3 linked regions of the Sus scrofa genome follow. The protein of the gene in region 1 interacts with the protein of each later gene in a biochemical or structural test. Links are inferred from orthologs where the notes say so. Each region holds a gene or a part of one and is shown in the gene's direction. Other genes may lie near its edges. The genes, in order: RAB5A, APPL1 and CHML.

Region 1 (3,751 bases):
CATGTATGATGTACCTGAGCACATGAGAAAACAGGTTTAAGTCCTTTAGCCACCAGCCACACAAACCTGAGAGACTTAGAATATTTGTTGCTCCAGAGTTAATTAAACAAAAAAATGTACCATTAAAACAAAAAAAAAAAGTGCCGTTTAATCTTCAAATAATGATGGTCAACATTTATTGAGATCTTAACTGTGTTCTAGAATTTTACTTAAAACTTTTAACCTAAGTGTAGTTCCAGAACCTGAATTCTTGAGTCATCTCTCAGGTTGCCTGGGTTCGAAACTCAGTTCTGTTGAAGCTCTGTCACAGTAACTATATGACCTCAGTCAAGTTACTCAACCTCTCTGTGCCTCTTTTCCTCATTTTTAAAGATTGTAATAGTCAACTTTATGGGATTGTTGAATGGCAGTATTAAGTACTTAAAACCATTGGACACAAAGTTGAGTCTTTAAGAAAGGTTAGCTTTAAAATTTTTTTAGAGACTTGAAAATTTTAGGCTCAGACCTTATGCCTTTGCATTATTTTCTTTTCATTCTTTTCTTTTTTCTTTTTGACTGCACCTCCACAGCTTGTGGAAGTTCCCAGGCCAGGGATCAATTCCATGCCACAGCAGCAGCCCAAGCTGCTGCAGTGACAATACCGGATCTTTAACCTGCTGCACTGCAAGGGAACTCCTACACTATTTTCTTAACAAAGGGAGAGAATTAAAGTAAATGGCATTCAGTGTTCAGTAAAGGTTATAATTGTCATACAATAATATAGCCAAAATTTACTACAGTGATTAATAATTAGATTTGTTTTGCTGATTTGTATATTTAATTACTTAATATTTGTTTCTTTTTAGGTTTCTTTACCTCCAGAAAGAAAAAAATTGTCACCTTGCATCCTGGAAGTTCATATAAGAGACTGAAGTTAGGGACTTGTTTCACATTTGGACATGGCTAATCGAGGAGCAACAAGACCCAACGGGCCAAATACTGGAAATAAAATATGCCAGTTTAAACTAGTACTTCTGGGAGAGTCTGCTGTTGGCAAATCAAGCCTAGTGCTTCGTTTTGTGAAGGGCCAATTTCATGAATTTCAAGAGAGTACCATTGGGGGTGAGATTTTCTTTTATCCTTTCTTAATTTAATTGAATCATACATTGACAAATAAAATTTTGCAGTAAGATGATGAGTACCTAAATAGATCACAGTGAAGAAAAGACCTGTTCAGCAGACTCAAGCTTTATGACTTGATTTTTATTAATGTTTTTTAATATTTGAGTTCCTGGTTATCCATGGGATGGTTGTATGGAAACTAAAATATAGATGCAGACATGAGTAGAATCAGTTTTACAAGTGTAGGATTTGATCTGTTGTTTTTCTAGATAATGATTAGAAGCTTCTTCAGATTAATACGTTTATGCTGAATTATATTGTCTTTAGAATAAATAGTGAAAATAGGAGTTCACGTCGTGGGGCAGTGGTTAACAAATCTGACTAGGAACCATGAGGCTTCGGGTTCGATCCCTGGCCTTGCTCAGTGGGTTAAGGATATGGCGTTGCCATGAGCTGTGGTGTAGGTCTCAGACGTTGCTTGGATCCCACATTGCTGTGGCTCTGGTGTAGGCCCGCAGCTACAGCTCCAATGAGACCCCTAACCTGGAAACTCCATGTGCTGCAGGAGTAGCCCTAGAAAAGGCAAAAACACAAGAAGAAGAAGAAAAAAAAGAATAAATAGTGAAAATAGTAAAAGTCAGTGTTAAAATTCTAATTCTAAATGGACTATTTATAAGTTACGATTATTTGTAAAATTAATTAAATTTTATTAAACCCGTTTAAGAATTCTAGGGCAAGGGAAGAGAAAAAGTGATCGATGGAGACAGACTGAAAGGGAAGTGGGGCCTGGAAAGAAAGATGAAAGAAGAGGGGAAAGAGGTGGTTGTAGCTAGACTGAGGTGAGGGGAGAGGGAAATGCAAGACAAAGAGGAGACAATTCACAGTGCAGCATTGTCAGTAGAAGACAAGAAGTTAGAGTGTAACCAAAGAAATACACAACTGTATATAGCAGTGCAGAATAGTCTCATTTGGCCTCGAGACTCATCTGTCAAATGATGCTTTTGAATTAGATGATGTCCGAAGAAACACAGTTTTAAGACTTACAATATTTTGTAAGGAAGGGATGTGTAATTAAGCAGTACTATATTTTTTCAGGTGTTCATGAATATACTTCATACTTTTTAAAAAATCAGACTTTTGAAATACATTAAGACAGATAGCCATGGGCATATAGCAACTCTTTGGAGTCCATATCTCAGAAACATAACTTTATGCTGTGCATTGAATGTATGTTCTCAAGTACGTAATGCTTGAGAATTTATAGTTTCAGATCTTCCCAGTAAGATAAATTATAGAACTCTGCTGTCTCCTGGCTTTTCCCTACATATAGAAAAATATACCAGATAAGTGGTGTTTTCCCTAGATTCAGCAGTATAATAGTGGCTGTCAACCCCCTGCATTTGTATATCCCATTGCCGTGTGATCCCCGTTTAGTTTGTTTTTATAGTAGATGAGCATTAAAAATATATATAGTCCATATGGCACAACTTTTATTTTGAGTCAGAAATCTTGATATTTTAAAAAATTATAATGAACAGCATATCACACATTCTTTGTGATTTCTTTGGTAATACAGTTGTGTGTACATATATATATATATCTGTTTTCGTAATGAAATATTACTTCACAAGCTTTAGTCTCCTTCAGAAAACAGATTGGGCCAAAGCTATCTAGCCCTTATAGTGGAAAGAGTTTTAAAGACCTTAAGGTTATATCTACCACCTTAAACTGGTGCAACAAATTAGTTATTATAACTGTTTCTTGGCAAGTGATTGTCAATTGCAGCATTTTCCAAAGTTCATATGCGCTATAGGCTAAATACCCAGACCAGATATGTTTGAGACTTGCTATGTGCTTACCTCCTTGCTTCATAGTACATACTAAAATAATAAAACACCGAAGTACTATAGTAAACAATTCAATTCCTGGGAAACTATGCAGGAACCTACATTAGAATTTTTGTTTTTGTTTTGGATACTCCCAAATTATCTTCTAAGTATATTTTTTCCTAATGACTTCTCAAGAAAGACATTTAAAAGAAAAGTTTAACTCCTTATCAATGCATCATCACAAAAATACTCATATCCTCTGATATGTGTGTTGGGGGGGTGTATAATGAGATAGTTGGAATCTATACATACATATATATAATCTCCATTTCCATTTAATATCAATTAGAGTGTCTGCATTTCATTAGGAGACTGTCAGAGGTTTTCATTCTAACACAAAACTTCCCTAATATTTTCTACTTGTACAGATTGAGTCTGACTTTTTAAACCAACTTTAAAAGAAATTTATATCCAAATTTCTATGTTAATGGTTGTTGGATATTTGTTCACTATGTTGACCACATATTAATACCTTCAGGAGGTATGATGATAGTGTCATGATAACAGCTGTGAGCCTTGGTTTTTTGTTTGTTTTTGAGATATAATTGGCATAATACTGTGTAAGGTATAAGACATATTGATTTGATTTATTTACAAAGTGAGCACTGTTTTAGGCTCTTTGCTAGCAACTCTTCACTGTTAAGGACTAGAGAAGATTGTAAGCATTTAAGAATTTCAGAGTTTGAGCTATGTCTATAACTTGTGGGTAATATGTATTTTTGTTTTGCTTGATGTGTGATAGGAATTATTTAAAAATGAAT
Region 2 (3,751 bases), about 32 Mb from region 1:
GAATCTGTATGGCTTCTTATAACCCTACAGAAGAACAAACAAGGCAGTGTGAGGTTGGGAAAAATGATAAAGAGGCAGATCTAATACAGATCAAGTTCTAGAGTGGAGCTTCACTTTTCTCTCCTTTAAAAAAATTAGAGGCTGAAGAAGCGATCTAAAGATTCTTCCAAAACTTTAACAGAAATGCGAATCAGTTATTAACATAATAAACCAGTGTACCTTGATTTTCAAGAGATGCCTTCATTTGTGATTAAAAAAGTAAATAAATAAAGTCTGAATTGCGGCGTGTCAGCCTCTCAAGGCCAGGTAAGAACCGATGAACTAGCAACAAAGGCGTGCTCTTAACTGAAAATACTGATACCCAAGTGCCCAGAAAAAAAATCTTTTCTACTGTCCAAGAATTACCGGGAAGTCAGGTTGACACAACTTCAGATCTCCCAGACATCTGAGTTAGCCAGCACCATTTTGTTGGAGAAGGGAGACTGGAAGCTTGGGGCAGGGTTTGTAAAATTATAATTTAAGGAAACTAAAGAAGGCGCCGGCAGTGAGGCCTCCTTCATGGTCTCTGATGAAAAATGGTGGGGGATACGTAAAACTGCCCTAGGTTCCCGACTGTGGTCCTCACTCTAGGTTCCTAGGGACGCACGGGGAAGACTGTCTACTACACTTCACACCCCTACGCGAGCAGCCAGGGTAGGTGCTCGAGGTGTGCAAGCTGCTCCGCTTTCGACCCCTCAGCGCCGCCTTTACCGCCTCCACCGACTCCACTGTCTCCTAGGCCCGTGATCTGCGCAGAGCTCAACGCGGGGGAGCCTCCCTCCAACCCCCCACGCTGACCGACATCGCCGCGAACCAATAAGCGAGTGGGGAGGTGGGGCAGGCAGTCCAAGGGGGCGGGATTTCCCTCACCGCCGCGAGGCCTCTGGGCGCCAGGCGAGGGCGGCAGAGCCAGCTAGAGAGGGCGGGTCGGGGTCAGCTGCTGAAGGCAGGCGGGCGTAGGGAGCTGTGGGCGGTCGCCGCGTCTCCTGCCGCCGCCCTCCCTCCCTCCCTCCCTCCGCCACGATGCCGGGGATCGACAAGCTGCCCATCGAAGAGACGCTGGAGGACAGCCCGCAGGTAAGGCGCGGGCAGCGGCGGGCGGCGAGGGAAGGAGCGGGGCCGGCCGACCCCAGGCCTGGCGTCTACGCGGCCGCAGGTGCCCGCCCTGGTCCAGGTGGGCGCCGTCCCCCAGTGTTCCCGCTGGTCGCGGGCCGCGCCCGGAGCCGCCGAGCCAGAGCCGTCCTCCCGAGGCCCGTCTCGGCCTGCGCCCCTAAGCCGAGAGCCGCGCGCGGGGTCTGGGACGTCCGCGGGCAGCGACTGAGCCGCCGTCGCCTTGGCTCGTGGGCCCGGCGGTCACGTACGCCCTCGGGGCTCCCTTGTATTTGACAGAAGGTGCTTTTTTGTCGCCGTCTTGTGAGGTGATAAATCTCAATACTGGTATTTTCCCCCGAAAACCTCCTCGGAGAAAATGCAGAAAAGACCCTGTAGACTTCATGGTTTCTGACCAAGCTAGGGGAGGAAATGGATAGTTTTTCTTGGGGAGATGCTGAAAGACTCTTGATTTGCCGGTGTGGAGAGGGCAAAGCCGGTCACGGGTCCCAGAGCCTCCCGTGGCCGTGTCTTGGCGGTGAGTGTAGCCGCTGTCACTCGGGCTGTGCACGCCGAGTGATGGACGGCGCCTTTGAGGCTCCACCACTGCTGCGCCCTCGTTGCAGACTTGGCCCTAATCAACTCATCAAAATAAAAGCCCTGTGTTTTGTGCTTTGGGGATGATGCTAGTGCGGTTGCTGTAGTTTAAAATAATCTAGGAAAACATAACCATTACTTAATGTTTTCGGTACTGAAGAATGAAATCAGCTATAGTAAAAACATGTTATGTTGGTGGGGCCTGTAACTTGCATTGAGAAACTTATCGCTAGGCCTGTCTCTTACACAGTAGGGGTTTAAGATGATGTTGCTGTTTGGCTACCACTTAGAATGAAGAAAATTTTCTGAAATGTTGTTCCCTTAGAACTGCAGTTGCACATATTTCTCGAGTCTTTGACAGTTTAATAGGACTCGAAAAGAAGGGGAGGAAGGGACTAGATCCCCCTTTTCCTGTATGATACGTCTGCCATGGATATTGTGCTAGTTTTGATTGCCAAGTTGAAGTTGGGTTCTGATTGTGGAATTGATTTGTTTTTTTCACAGCGAAAGTTATCTTCACAGACCAGTTGACTGCTGGTAATGTACTCTTATCCGCCTATGTTGACAGAGAGAAACCCACTTCTTGACTTCCAGAATAGATGGTTCAAATGCTTCATGATTTCTGTAGTATAAAGTTATAAGCTACATTTGTTTCAAATGTTTAGCAGAAATTTTATGGGATGTATTGGTCAGGTGCACTTTGTCATTTTATTTTATAAGACTCAACAGGTTGCCTTGCCTTTTTTCTCTTACCTGGCCTGGTTTTTATAGCTCATAAAGACTACAGACTACTCAGAATGGGTTGCACAGTGCCCTAGCCATGACTTAGGAGGGTGTAATCTCTTGACTCATCTAATTTCTTGAACTCTTCACACAATTAGTTTACAATTTGAGCATTAAGTGTTTTCCTTCTTTTATAAGCATGTGCCATATTGGTATTAGTTTTATGGTAATTTTTAATGAGATAGCCACATTGGTATTCTTTTAATTTTAGGAATAATAAATTTGAACTTAATATTTATTTGGGAAATTAATTGGGACGGCTGTGGTTTAGAAAGGGAAGCAATTCTTGGGGCAAAATAGAACACCCTGGATTCAGGATATAAGGGTTTTAGTCTTTACTGCCACTTAATACCTTCTGTTTTAGAGCAAGTCACTTAACTTCTCTGAACCGCAGCTGTTATATAGATAGTAAGTATTTTAATCCCTGTACCTGATTATAAAAATAATAGTTGTTTACTTCAGAAAAATTGGAAGGTACAGAGAAGTTACCTGTCATGTACCCAGCAGCAAACTGTTAACAGTTTGCTTTCTTTTTTCTAGTTTTTTTCTGTTACACATTTTAATGTGATTGAAATTATATTATGCATAACAATTTTTATTTGGCTTAACATTGTAGCTTAAGTGTCTTCATACATTATTACAAACTGAATAAAAATTTTAAAAGTTGCATGTTTCCTTGACTATTTTCAGTCAGTTGTCCTATTGTTGGTCTTAGAGAGTTTTCCTCAAGTTTTGCTTTTATATATAGGGCTGAGATTAAAACTTCTGGACATAAGGTTTTATTCTCATCTGAACTATTTATTTAGGACAGAGTCCAAGAAGTTGCGTAATAACTAATAACGAAGAGTAGGAAAACTTTTTAAAGCTTCTGATTAGATTATCTGATCCTAATCAAAAGTGGTCTGTGAGTTGCTATGTAAAAAATTAGAGCCTGGGAGTCATGAAAGACTACCCTGGATTACATTTATCCTTTTTTAGTTTTAATTTACAGAACTAAGTATTAAAATAGGAGTATATTTGCAAGTTCAAATCCAGCTGATCAAACATAAACATTTTTAGAATTATCTTGCCCAAACCGTACCATTCTGCAGAAGTCAGCATCTATGGAAGTAGAAAATCTTAAAACTGTACTAGATGCCTTGTCCATGCTTATATATTGTTCTGAAAACCAGAAACAAAATGATACTTTCTAATTAGTAGGAGTGGATATGATCTTTAAAAAAATATTTTATAAAAAGAATAA
Region 3 (3,751 bases), on another chromosome or scaffold:
TGTTAAATGGTTGTATAAATCTAAAATATAAAATTAGAGTTTTTAAAAGGACTGGGTGGGTGAGTCCCCTAGAGGACAAGTCCAGATCGGAAGCCTTAAGAAAAAATCACCAGCTATTGCTCCATGCACCATGATAGGAAGTAACCTTGTCTTGACAATTAGATTATATCTCCAAGGCCCACAAAACCGGGGTTCAGTGAAGCTAGCAATTTTCTAGGGATCTTCTAATGGAGGTGGGAGACACACTCCCTCGTGGAGGGCAGTTCCTTCGCCCTTGCACAGGCACAGTGCTGGCCAGCGGCGCCCAGGACAGCCTGTAGGACCAGCTCAGGACTGTGCACCCCGCAAAGACTACGGTCAGTTCCGGGACCTATGCTTGCCTTGCCCTCTATTTTCACTGGGTAAAAGGCCAGAGGTGCTGCCCCAGGTATAGCACCCACCTCTCTGCAACTGCGAGATGTGGGCTGGAGCTCGAGGGCGCCGCCTCAGTCGCCACAGCGCCCCTGCATGGAGGACAGCAAGGGCAAAATGAGCAGGCCTGGGGTGCAGCCGGGGCTTACCTCAAGTGTGCAGTACGCGAGCGGGTAGTAACAGCTTCCCGGAGAGGGAGAAGCCAAAGGATCCTGCCATAAATGGTCCTTAATGAGGGAGTGAGTGGGGAAAGAGGAGAGCCCTTCCAGCTGGGTGAGGAGGGCTGCGGAGAGAGGAGCCCCCGGCGATGCTTTGCCTCCAGGCCCCCACGGACTGTGCCGGCGGTGGCGGGTTACTGGGGACCTCAGGGCGTGGGGAGAGGACCCGGCGAATCAGGAAGCAGCTTGGACAGCGAGCAGGGGAGGGGTTAAGGTTGGGAGGTGCTCCGGGGCGGGGCTACAGGGCGCTAGGGGGCGGGGTTACGGCTGGGAGGGGCGTAGGGGCGGGGCTACAGGGAGGGAAAGGGCGGGGTTACGGTAGGGAGGGGGTAGGGGCGGGGCTACAGGGCGGGAAGGGGCGGGGTTACGAGCGGCGTCAGCGGTCTGCGCAGGGGCAGAAAGGGGCGACGGGGACCTCTGAGTGCGCAGAGCCCCGCGCAGAGCCCCAACCAGAGCGGTGCGCGCCGGCGCCTGGCGTGCACACCCAGAGAGGTGGCGGGGCGGCGAGGGCGCCGTGGGGCCCTCACGCCGCCTATCGGGGCGACTACGGGTGCGGGGCACTGCTGCGCCGGAAGCATCCTGCTGCTGCTCGTCCTCTACTTCAAATTCCAGCGGCTCCGCAGCCCCGCTTCGCCGGGCGCCCCCTGCTCATCGTTAGCCTCCGCCACCTGCTGCCTTCCGTTCTCGCGGCCGCGGTGGCTTTCGCGCCCCACAGAGGGGCGGCGCGGATGGTGCGTGAGACGGCTTCATCAGCAGCCTGTAGGGTGAGTGCCGGCGGAGACCGCCTCCTTCTGCGCCCCGACCTAGAGGCTGTGCTCTCCTGACCTCGCCTCCCCCGCCTCGACATCTCTTCCTCCGGCCTCCCCGCCTCACTTCATCCGCTCCCAGACCTCACTCCCTCCACCGGTCCTCCTCGCTCGCTGATCTCCGCCCCTCCCCGTGCTCCCAGGCCCCTCGCCCACCCAGACCCCAGCCTGCTGCCGCAGCTCCTCAATCACCTGCTCGGGAGCTCATCTCACTTGTCTGCTTTCACCTCCTGATTTAATTCAGTAGGGCCCGAGACAGTGGTTTTGACACTTTGAGGAAAGAAACGAGAGGGTGAAGTCAAGAACTTCAAGAAAAAAAGTGGTAGTATTTGTGAAACTTGGAGAGGGTGATGAGAAGTGATTTAATTCATATATTATTTTGCTAAAATGAGAGGTAGAAATCTGACATAGCAACAATGTGTAAATTTTTTTTTAAAATGCTCATTATCAGTTGTAAACCTTTGCTTTCTAGGAAGTGAAATAGTTTTATTCAGGTCCTCAGAATGCAAATTGTGCTCTATAAGCTATTTTTACTATATTTTCCTCCTTATAGGTTCCACCACACCAAAATATAAGGCGAGATTGCAAAAATGGCTCAGAGAACCCCTACTGAAATGGACAGATAATTAGCTATGCAGCCAGTAGATTTCATTAAACTAGAACTTGATCGTTAATTGAAATTTTTTATTTTTTTATTTTTTTGTCTTTTTGCTATTTTTTGGGCCGCTCCCGCGGCACATGGAGGTTCCCAGGCTAGGGGTCTAATCGGAGCTGCAGCCACCGGCCTACGCCAGAGCCACAGCAACGTGGGATCCGAGCCGCGTCTGCAACACCACAGTTCATGGCAACTCCGGATCGTTAACCCACTGAGCAAGGGCAGGGATCGAACCCGCAACCTCATGGTTCCTAGTCGGATTCGTTAACCACTGCGCCATGACGAGAACTCCCTGAAATTTTTTAAAAAACTACTCTTACTCCTATTGAAGATTTAAATCTCACTGAGATTGACATTTCAAAGGACGAGCTACCCAACGTGTCATTGAAGATGTGATTTTTCCAAGCTTGGGAAAGAAACTATTTTTGTGTGTGTGGTCCAGAAGTTTCACTTATACAAAGATTTGAAATAGAAATGTATATTTCTCAGGTCGTAAGTTTCCTTTTAAAAAGTCCTAAAATCCCTAATAATTTATTACTGCTTTTATCTTAACAGGTTTAGAAGAGCAAAACCTTTGTAGCATTATCAAAATATTGATAATCACTAACCTATGTGGTAACAAACTCAAATATTATGTATGTTATGATTCCTTAATACATACCTACATATATATTTTTTTTTTTCTTTTTTCCCTTTTTATAGCTGCACCTGTGGCCTATGGAAGTTCCCAGGTTAGGGGTTGAATCAGAGCTGCAGCTGCCAGCCTACATCACAGCCAGGCAATACTGGATCCAAGCCTCATCTGCGACCAGCACCACAGCTTGCAGCGTTGCCAGATCCTTAACCCACTGAGCCAGGCCAGGGATTGAATCCGCATCCTCACAGACACTACGTCCAGCTCTTAACCTGCTGAGCCACAATGGGAAGCCCTCTTTTTTTATATTTTGCAGGAAACAAGAAAATGTCGTAGAAATCATAATTTCACTTATTTGATGGCCTCAGTGATTCTGATATTCTAATAATACCAACCCTTTCCCAATAAACATTAATCTGAGAACTTCAACTATATAAGACTTGAAACCTGGGAGGAAGCTATAGGTGTGTGTAGGTGTTGCTATAGATGCAGTAGATTGCACTCTTTATATTAATGTCTGATGCCTGCCGGCAGTGTTCAGGCAAGGCTGAGGTTTAAAGAGGGCCGTTCATGCAGAGCCTGACATATCCTCAGTGGCAGATACTGGGTCACAGACGTGAAAGTTCTGATCTACAAGAAAGACTTTGTGCTGGTAAATTCTGTTTCTATTCCAGCTCCGTGCCCGGGAGCTTGGAGACGAGTGTATTGGGGTCTTTATTGGTACCAACGTCCCCCTCTTCCTCATCCGTTCCATCTTGCAGCCCCACCCTGATGTGTCTCCTCGTCTTTTCCATCCTTTTTCTCTCTCTCATCATCCCTGCTCTGGTCCCACCCCAATCAGAAGGAATTTTCTAAGCCAACTAGAAAATTGTGGCTCGCTGGTAACAAACCTGACTAGTATCCATGAGGATGCAGGTTCAATCCCTGGCCTTGCTCACTGGGTTAAGGATCCAGCGTTGCCGTGAGCTGTGGTGTAGGCTGGCAGCTGCAGCTCCAATTCAACCCCTAGCCTGGGGACTTCCATATG

The links.
Region 2: the proteins of RAB5A (region 1) and APPL1 form a complex in vitro, tested with the Homo sapiens proteins (2 studies listed by BioGRID and IntAct, with this or other methods). The link is inferred for Sus scrofa from reciprocal best matches to the Homo sapiens genes RAB5A and APPL1.
Region 3: the proteins of RAB5A (region 1) and CHML form a complex in vitro, tested with the Homo sapiens proteins (2 studies listed by BioGRID). The link is inferred for Sus scrofa from reciprocal best matches to the Homo sapiens genes RAB5A and CHML.

What each region holds. Positions count from the first base shown.
Region 1 is NC_010455.5:6,908,042-6,911,792, forward strand, and holds the start of RAB5A (ras-related protein Rab-5A), read left to right. Parts: upstream 1-938; coding exon 939-1,101; intron 1,102-3,751. UniProt on the Homo sapiens protein: The small GTPases Rab are key regulators of intracellular membrane trafficking, from the formation of transport vesicles to their fusion with membranes.
Region 2 is NC_010455.5:39,088,095-39,091,845, forward strand, and holds the start of APPL1 (DCC-interacting protein 13-alpha), read left to right. Parts: upstream 1-1,062; coding exon 1,063-1,116; intron 1,117-3,751. UniProt on the Homo sapiens protein: Multifunctional adapter protein that binds to various membrane receptors, nuclear factors and signaling proteins to regulate many processes, such as cell proliferation, immune response, endosomal trafficking and cell metabolism.
Region 3 is NC_010452.4:11,834,474-11,838,224, forward strand, and holds the start of CHML (rab proteins geranylgeranyltransferase component A 2), read left to right. Parts: upstream 1-998; 5' UTR 999-1,393; intron 1,394-3,751. UniProt on the Homo sapiens protein: Substrate-binding subunit (component A) of the Rab geranylgeranyltransferase (GGTase) complex. Binds unprenylated Rab proteins and presents the substrate peptide to the catalytic component B.